2 linked regions of the Daphnia pulex genome follow. The protein of the gene in region 1 interacts with the protein of each later gene in a pairwise test. Links are inferred from orthologs where the notes say so. Each region holds a gene or a part of one and is shown on either strand. Other genes may lie near its edges. The genes, in order: baculoviral IAP repeat-containing protein 7-like and caspase-1-like.

Region 1 (4,360 bases):
GAGAAACTTGTTAAAAATTTTAAGTCTTTAAAACTTTCATCCGGTAGGATCCCACTCATTCATTCATTATAGGCTATATAGTACCAGGAATTGACTAATACAATAGAAATGAGTGCCAACAAAGTAGCAATCTGCCTCTCCATGATTGCTAGACAAGTTTCCAATGGGTAATGGCCGAGGAGGAAGAATTGCTGATCCATTGCCGAGAACGATTCTTTTAAATCCTGATTCGTTCATGAATATCATATAATTACAAATGGCATCCTGATTTCATCTTGATAATAGAGAAGTAAGTACATGCACGAATGAGGAACTTACTATTTGATTTTTCGAGGTCACCATGACTGTCCGACCTGATCGAATGAACAAGGAGGATGAAGAAAACCGCCGCCTTGGGAGAACACATTGCCTGCTGGAAATCAAATACCGTTATTCGTTAGTGGCTACGCATATCAAATTAACAAGTGGGTTACACTCAACAGTTAGAGACAGTAGGCCTAATCACATCGATAAGATATTTAGGAATGAAGGCTTGTTTTTGTCTACTGGCAATGCACACAGCGAAACGAACGCGTTCTTTGTTATTGCGAATCTTAACTTTTTTTAAAATGTTTGTTTTGTTCTGAAATTATGTTACAGACCTTACTCTAGGACGTGATGCTTGGTGAACACGCAAGACTTGACTATTGGCCATACACGCACTCGCACCTTTAACATTCAACTTCCTGTTTCGGTTGAAAAGAGACCTTCACGGTTTCACGGTTGAAGTGGCCATCGAATACCAGAAGCTTCTTGCTATCACTGAAATATTTCGAACTTGAGTTATTTGAGATTTGAATAACTTTCCGTTTATTTTTTAAACTAAAGCCGGTGGGTTTGCAAGAACATTTGCAAGAATTTAAATAATAAACAAAAATCCATACTAAATACTTATTAACAGTGGAATTTTTTAAATTTACAAGTACTAAGTTGTTCCAGAACTTAGAACTGTACTTCAGAAAATATCTATAGTTCGTCTTTGCGATCGCCAATTCATTTAGACGAATCCAAATGAACTACTTAAGACAAGAAGATGCGGACTGTTCCTTTAATATTTTTTCGACAAAGAGGACAGTGTTCGAGAGCTAAAAAAAAAAAAAAATTTATTAAAACGCTAAAATTTTAGTAACATTATTTGATCAAAATATTGTAGTTTACCTGCCGCGCATTGGACACAAGTCACAATGTGTCCACAAGGAATATATGCAATTGACACTTCCTCGTCAAGACATACTTTGCAGAGACGAGCTTCTTTCAGGCGACGAATCTCCTCTTCCAAAATTTGGGCTACAACAAATAAAATGTTGGTCAAATTAATTATTTCAAAATGTCTGAAAATTAATACATTACTTCTATCGACGGATTGTGTGGATGTTTCACATGAAGCTGATACCTCTAGGGCACAACTTTGTTCTTTTATTTTTTCAGGATTTTCTGGCTTACTAAGAGTATCCATTTCCCGATGCGAAAGCGGGGTTTCAGATCTTACTTCCGAAACCAATGGTACAATTGGTACGTTCTCATTGGTATTTGTTCTATGTTCATCGCTCGGTGTACTTAGAGAAACGGGAAGTTCTACAAGGGTATATCCAGTTGATGTTACACGTCGACGAGAAGAGGAAGGTACAGCTGACGGCCAGTCCACATCTTCATAGCTAAGAAGGGTGAAAGGAATCAATGAAATGTCTAATTCGAGTTGAGAAGTGAACACGCAAAAGACTTACTTGCCATCTTCCAACGACTGGCGATGCTCGCTGTGATGCTGAATTTCAATAGCTGCCTCAAGAAGCGAATCAACTGTGTTGAAAGGCTGCCCAGTAGTACGAATTTGGTATTTTAGGGCCTGCCTAACACGAGAAAGGTCAACGCCCATTGCTAGAACAGTCTGAACTATGGGAGTTCCTAGTAAACTTCGCAGATCAGCTTCTGAAGCCTCTCTTGGTGAGGCACGTGAATTTCCCACTGATGCCGACAGGGAAGGCTTGGCTTTAGGATGATTGGACATGGATTCTGTCGCTTCTTTAATGTACTGTTCTCCTTTCATCAGCATAACAAAGCGACACTGAGGGAACCATCGAGCGTGTTCAAGCCATGGGTCGTCTTCTGGTTCCCAGTTTCTTAAGCCCGATCCACAATGAAAACAATTGACATGATCGTTGGTCCCTAAATCCATAAATTAAATTAACAAAATAAAACCAGAATTTTTTGTGCTATTTGTACCAAGATGGAAGAAACCAGATAGAGCCATTGCTCTTGGAGTTTGCTTCAGGTGGGAAGGCCAGTTATTATAACTTTTAAGTCGTGCATCCAAAGTAGCATATGAGGAATACCGAGGTCCGCTATGTTTAGTTATGCCCAACTCTTCCAAATTTTCTCCTACTAATGCATTCAATTGCATACTGTCTGGAGATCTCAATTCTATGAAACAAAATTGTATTGTAAACCAAATAGATAATGAAGTAATTAGTGGTTGTCATACCAGTGTCTGGTGAGGCATTTGGTCTAAATTGTGAAGTAAACTGCCTGGTAGCTCCAAATCCTATGTTCAACTGCTGAGGTACAGGTAGAGAAGCAGTTCGTTCTACATTCAGATGTACAGTGGATGGATTTTCACCCAAAGGTATATTACCTACTGGTAAACCTAACCAACGGACCACAAATTAATGTCATATTGCAATTTCCGAATTTAACAGACCAACCTAATATGAAAGCGCACGACGGAAACAAACGTTGATGCTCTCTTCTTGGGTCGTCATTTATTTCCCAATCTCTAACCACTCCTCTGCAGAACGCGCATTGAACTTGATCGTCAACTCCCACATAGAAGAAACCGGCTTTAGCAAGTAAGAGGGGGCTTAAAAATGTGGCAGAGAAGTGTTCGTTAAAAGTTCGCAAACGAATATCTTCTCGTCTAAGGGTTATCCATTCTTGAGGCATGATGAAAAAAGAAAAACAGACACGACGTCAGTAATACTGACACCATTGTGTCAAAACAGAGCAATGTGACGTTGCCAAGTATTTGGACTTTGGATATTCTGTTTTTAAGAAAAATAAAACTTTGTTTTATAAATGTTAGTTTTAAGTTTTGTTAGTTTTGTTAGTTTCTTAAGTTTTTTCTTATAAATGATTAAAAAAAGAAGATTACAGAAAAAACTAGAAAATTTGAATAAAATATGAAAGCATGACCTGATAAGCTTTTCAATGATAATAAAAGTTGGACGAAATGAGCAGTCTGTCAAATTTTTTGACGGTCGTATTCTCATCAAGAAACAATAGAAACAAACAATGATAACGGCTTAAATTTTGAATGGACTATTTATTTTGATTCGGACACAAACGGTTGATTCTCGCATCTATTTACAGTGAATGTTGATGATCTATTCACTTCAAACTCAAATTTATTAAACCATTTCGGAGGGAGACGCCGACTTTCAAACAAACAAACGACGAACTGAATGTCGAAATAATTGTTTGTCGTGTTGAAGATGAGAATTCTCATTTCATCATGAACGCGCATAAAAAAGAGAAATCGAAATGTCCTTACTACACCCCATTCGAAGGCGGACAATTGAAAAAGCGAAAGTGTTTAATGCCTTAAAATCTCATTGCTTTTGCCGCTGTTGATGTGATTGTGCCGCAGCAAAGGACCGAAAAGTGCGATCTTAGGTTTTTGTTGCCCTTTTTTGAATCGAAGAAGGCCCTACTCCACTTACTTATTGAGCCTCAGTCAACAAGCGCATCGTCGCGCTCTCTCTCACCCTCCAATTCTTTACTGTCATGAAGTTTCAAACACGCAGAAAAAAAGAAAGAAAGACCAATAGAAAGATTTCAGGCAGTGTGGTCATTAGTGGCGAAGACCTGGTGAAGACGTATATAAGGAGAAAAGATTTATGACTGAAAGCAGACGCTGAACTGAGCTGAAGACTTGAACACATCTAGTATTTCTTCTCAAGTAGTAGCAATGAAGAAGGTAGGCAACTAATATACTTGTTATCAAATTTTAGTTACATAACATTAAGATATTTCCAGGTTTTACTGTGCAATTGCCTTCTCATGGCAGTCATTGCCATCAGCCAGACGGATGCATTCTTCCTAAATAAGGGCTCTTCAGGTAAATCATTTTATAGCTATTCTTGTCGTCGCTCAAAAGTTACTGTTAGTGCCTAAATTTATACCACTTGTGTGCAACATAACTCAATTTCAGTAGTCATAAACTCTTGGCTGTCCCGTTGTAGTTAAGGAGTTTTGACTCTTATTTAAATAGGTAAATTGCATAATTATTTGATCAAGGTAAAATTTTCCATGCTACAGCTTGTTGTTT
Region 2 (3,617 bases), on another chromosome or scaffold:
CCCACACCTGCCAGTGCGGGATCGATGGAAATTGCGTCGAAACTCCTTTAACATGCAACTGCGACTCTGCTGCGCCTATTCAGTTATCCGACGATGGTTCAATATCATCTTAAAAGATTCTTTTGAATGTTAAATAACCGACCAACTATTTTTAACAAACGCAGGAGTCATTACTGATAAAACTGTTCTGCCCATTACTCGGCTGAATTTTGGTCGAACTCAACTAGAGACTTCATCAGGTGTCCACACACTTGGCCGTTTTGAATGTACCGGACAAGTGACTGTCACTGGAATGCCAAAGTCATGCGAAGATTTGTGGAGAAAGGGGCACACCTTGAGTGGATTATATTCCGTTATGGGAAGAGCAATGATTGAAGCTGTTTATTGCGATTTTAATAAACTGCCCTTTGACTCAGGTATGAGCTTCTTTAATACAAGTTCACGTATTGTAAACTTGTAACGATTTATAGTTCTACATAGTAATACATAATCAAATTTGCAGGTTTCCAGACGTGGATCGGTTACGCGGATGTTAAATCTTCTCCTACCTACTTCTACGCTCAAAGAAACGTAACCTTTAACGAAACTAAGATCCCTATTCCATTCGACGTTGAAATACTAAACGTGGGAGGAGCCATGAATTTTACATCAGGCAAATTCACGGCACCGGTCGCGGGCAAGTACTTTTTCTCCTTCACGGGACTGATACGATTTACGGGATCTTCGACAATACAGAATTGTTATCTTTATTTGTATAAGAACGGGGATCGAATTGCAAGGAGTTATTCTGACGAGATCAGCGCCACAGTGCAAGATGAAACCCTTTCCCTTCAATCAACGTTGAATTTGAATAAGGGAGATCAAATCTGGTTAGAAATTGATTACTTAACACCAGGGACGACTTTGAATGGTCCATTCAGCCAATTTAATGGTTTCCTGCTCGAGGAAGACATTTCCCAGTTTGTAAAAACGTTGATGGTGTGATGATTGCATGATTCGGAATGAAAATGTTCATTTAAAATTCAAGACAGAAATTATTTACTGTGCGATTGAAAATGACTAATTGACTTTCTTTGCTGATTTCTAACAATAAAACTATTTGAACAAAAAATGCCAGACTTGTAGTTTCTCATTTTGGAAACAACAAACAAGGAATGAGATGCATTCGCAATTAACATTACGATGCAGTTGCTATGGAGTTCAACACACCATAGCCTAAGTGATTCATCCCTTGATTCTAGAAAAAGATAAAAAATCATTTTATAAATTATTTATTTTTTTAAACAGATTGCTCCAACCCGCCAACCGTCCGGGAAACTGCTTGGTCATTTCGTCAGTAGGTTGCGCTGATGTCTTTTTCAACTCGAATAAAGGAGGCAGAGGCAGGTTCGTTAAAATCAATGCACAGAGATAGGAACTGTCAAGTAAACTGTGATTGTGAAAAAATCTATTGCTAAATAGTATAAAACTGTTTGAGTCATCTTGGTTGAGTCATTCCTGAACACTAACCAACAAGTGGCATAATATTGTTTTGTAAAATAAAATGGAGGAAGTTGGAATTCAGAATAATGAATTGGGTTCAAAACATGATGAACCTGATGTTAAATTCAAACAGTAAGTAAAAAAAAAGAAAGGCTTGAAACTATTTGACACTCAAGTAATCACTAATCACATTTATTTTTTGTCTTTGAAGGCCTGGCTTGAATACCGACCTTCCCAGCTTTGCTTTCCTACCTGTTGATCGTGACTCAGAAGCATATAACATGAATCATGTGAAGCGAGGGAAGGCTTGCATCTTTAATCACGAAAACTTCAACCCCAATCTTGATTTAAAACCACGTGCTGGAACATCTAAAGACAGAGACAACCTGTACATGAGGTTGAGGGAACTGGACTTTGATGTCACATATTTCAATGATCTGACATTCAATGAACTAAATACTGAAATAATTAAATGTAAGCAATTTCCCATAGTTGAATTTCATTTTCAATTTTGATTTATTTGTGATTTTTTTTTCAGTGGCAAGTGAGGATCACTCTGAACACGATTGTGTTCTCGTTGCATTGATGTCCCATGGTGATGATGGCATATTGTATGCCAAAGACCAGCAGTACAAACCTGAAAAATTGTGGTCCCACTTTACGTCTGACCAATGTCCCACATTGGCTGGAAAACCAAAGCTTTTCTTTATTCAGGTAAACATTATTTAAAAAAATGGACTTCACTGTCCCCAAATACCTTGAGTTAATTATGGTTTACTTTGAAAAGGCTTGCCAGGGGGACAGATTGGATGCAGGTACAACAATGTTGCCCAGAGTCACAGAAACCGATTCGCCCAGTGCAGTGGCTTACAAAATACCCACTCACGCGGATTTCCTGATTGCGTATTCAACTGTTCCGGGTAAAAATGACATTGTGAAAAACGTACCTAATTTACTCCCAATGACTTACTCCATTGCCATTTTGTGGGCGCCCCGGTTGCCTTTTTAGGTTTCTATTCCTGGCGCAATACGACTAACGGATCTTGGTTCGTCCAGGCGTTGTGCTACGTGCTGTCGGAGCGCGGCCGAGAAGACGATCTACTCTCCTTGATGACGACCGTCTCTCGAATAGTCTCGATCGGCTTCGAATCCAATACGCCTCAAGACTCGAACATGCACCAGCGCAAGCAAATTCCCTGCGTCACGAGTCTCTTGACTCGGAAAATTTATTTCAAGCGCAAGACGACTCGCCGTATTTGATTGAAAAGCTACGAAACAAGAAAATGTTGCCTTGTTCTTCTCCTTATCAAGAATTCTTCACAACGATTTAAGTTCGATCGCACTTTCTATCTCATCAAGTAAGTCTTTCAGACGACAATTCAATACTTTGCTCACTTTTTTATTTGCTAAAGTGCTGTGTTTGTATCAATGCAATGCGAAGCCGTTTGTATACACGGGCAAACCATTTCGGTTAAATGGACGGACTGGGCGTCAAGTTATTTCGAGAAACAAACGAGGTCGACACCGTGTTCACGTTTTCTTTTTCTTTTTTGGAAATGGTCAGCGATTAACTTACAAGTCCGTCTCATGAATGAAGGGCCGTTGCAGGGGCTTCCTTTTGTGGCAGTGCAGAGCTGTAAAACTAACGGCCGGTGGATTTAGTGTCCAACAAAGAGGACTTAAAATGTGGATGAGCTCTTAAGCTCTACCTATAACAGTCCATTTTGATCAGCAGGTCTCTTCATTAATGCTGCATGCTTCTCTATTTCTCTTGTCCGTCGTTGCTGGCCCGGCCCCCCCCCCCCCCTATCGTCTACAAATAAGCTGCGGGGAGAGGAACAGGGGAATATGGACAGGCAACATGAGCTCAGTTGGGCATCTCCAACGTCTCCATAAATCTAAAATTCCGATCAGATATCCGAGTTGAACTGTCTCTCTCTCTCTCTCTTAACTTTTATTTTTCCCCCTTTATTTTCTGTTGGAAAACCACGGGTGTGGCTTTAAATATTCCGCCATAAATAGATTTTTTTTTTTCGACTTTAGACCGGTAGCCCAAAACGTAATAGAAACCAAACAAATATCTCCAAGGCAACAGCAGGCAGACCAGCAGCAGCAGCCATCTCCCCCTTCATTTA

Evidence for each region.
Region 2: the proteins of baculoviral IAP repeat-containing protein 7-like (region 1) and caspase-1-like interact in binary tests that used the Drosophila melanogaster proteins (3 or more experiments, as listed by UniProt). The link is inferred for Daphnia pulex from reciprocal best matches to the Drosophila melanogaster genes Diap2 and Drice.

What each region holds. Positions count from the first base shown.
Region 1 is NC_060023.1:3,932,862-3,937,221, reverse strand, and holds baculoviral IAP repeat-containing protein 7-like, read right to left. Parts: upstream 3,052-4,360; 5' UTR 2,977-3,051; coding exon 2,739-2,976; intron 2,681-2,738; coding exon 2,519-2,680; intron 2,458-2,518; coding exon 2,260-2,457; intron 2,203-2,259; coding exon 1,764-2,202; intron 1,695-1,763; coding exon 1,198-1,694; intron 1,125-1,197; coding exon 1,060-1,124; 3' UTR 826-1,059; downstream 1-825. Other genes in the region: uncharacterized protein LOC124198279, read right to left, coding at 85-224, 319-406; loricrin-like, read left to right, coding at 4,001-4,009, 4,069-4,150.
Region 2 is NC_060028.1:7,607,027-7,610,643, reverse strand, and holds caspase-1-like, read left to right. Parts: upstream 1-1,356; 5' UTR 1,357-1,543; coding exon 1,544-1,614; intron 1,615-1,693; coding exon 1,694-1,956; intron 1,957-2,020; coding exon 2,021-2,196; intron 2,197-2,269; coding exon 2,270-2,402; intron 2,403-2,491; coding exon 2,492-2,742; 3' UTR 2,743-2,958; downstream 2,959-3,617. Other genes in the region: uncharacterized protein LOC124208790, read left to right, coding at 1-96, 165-416, 503-984.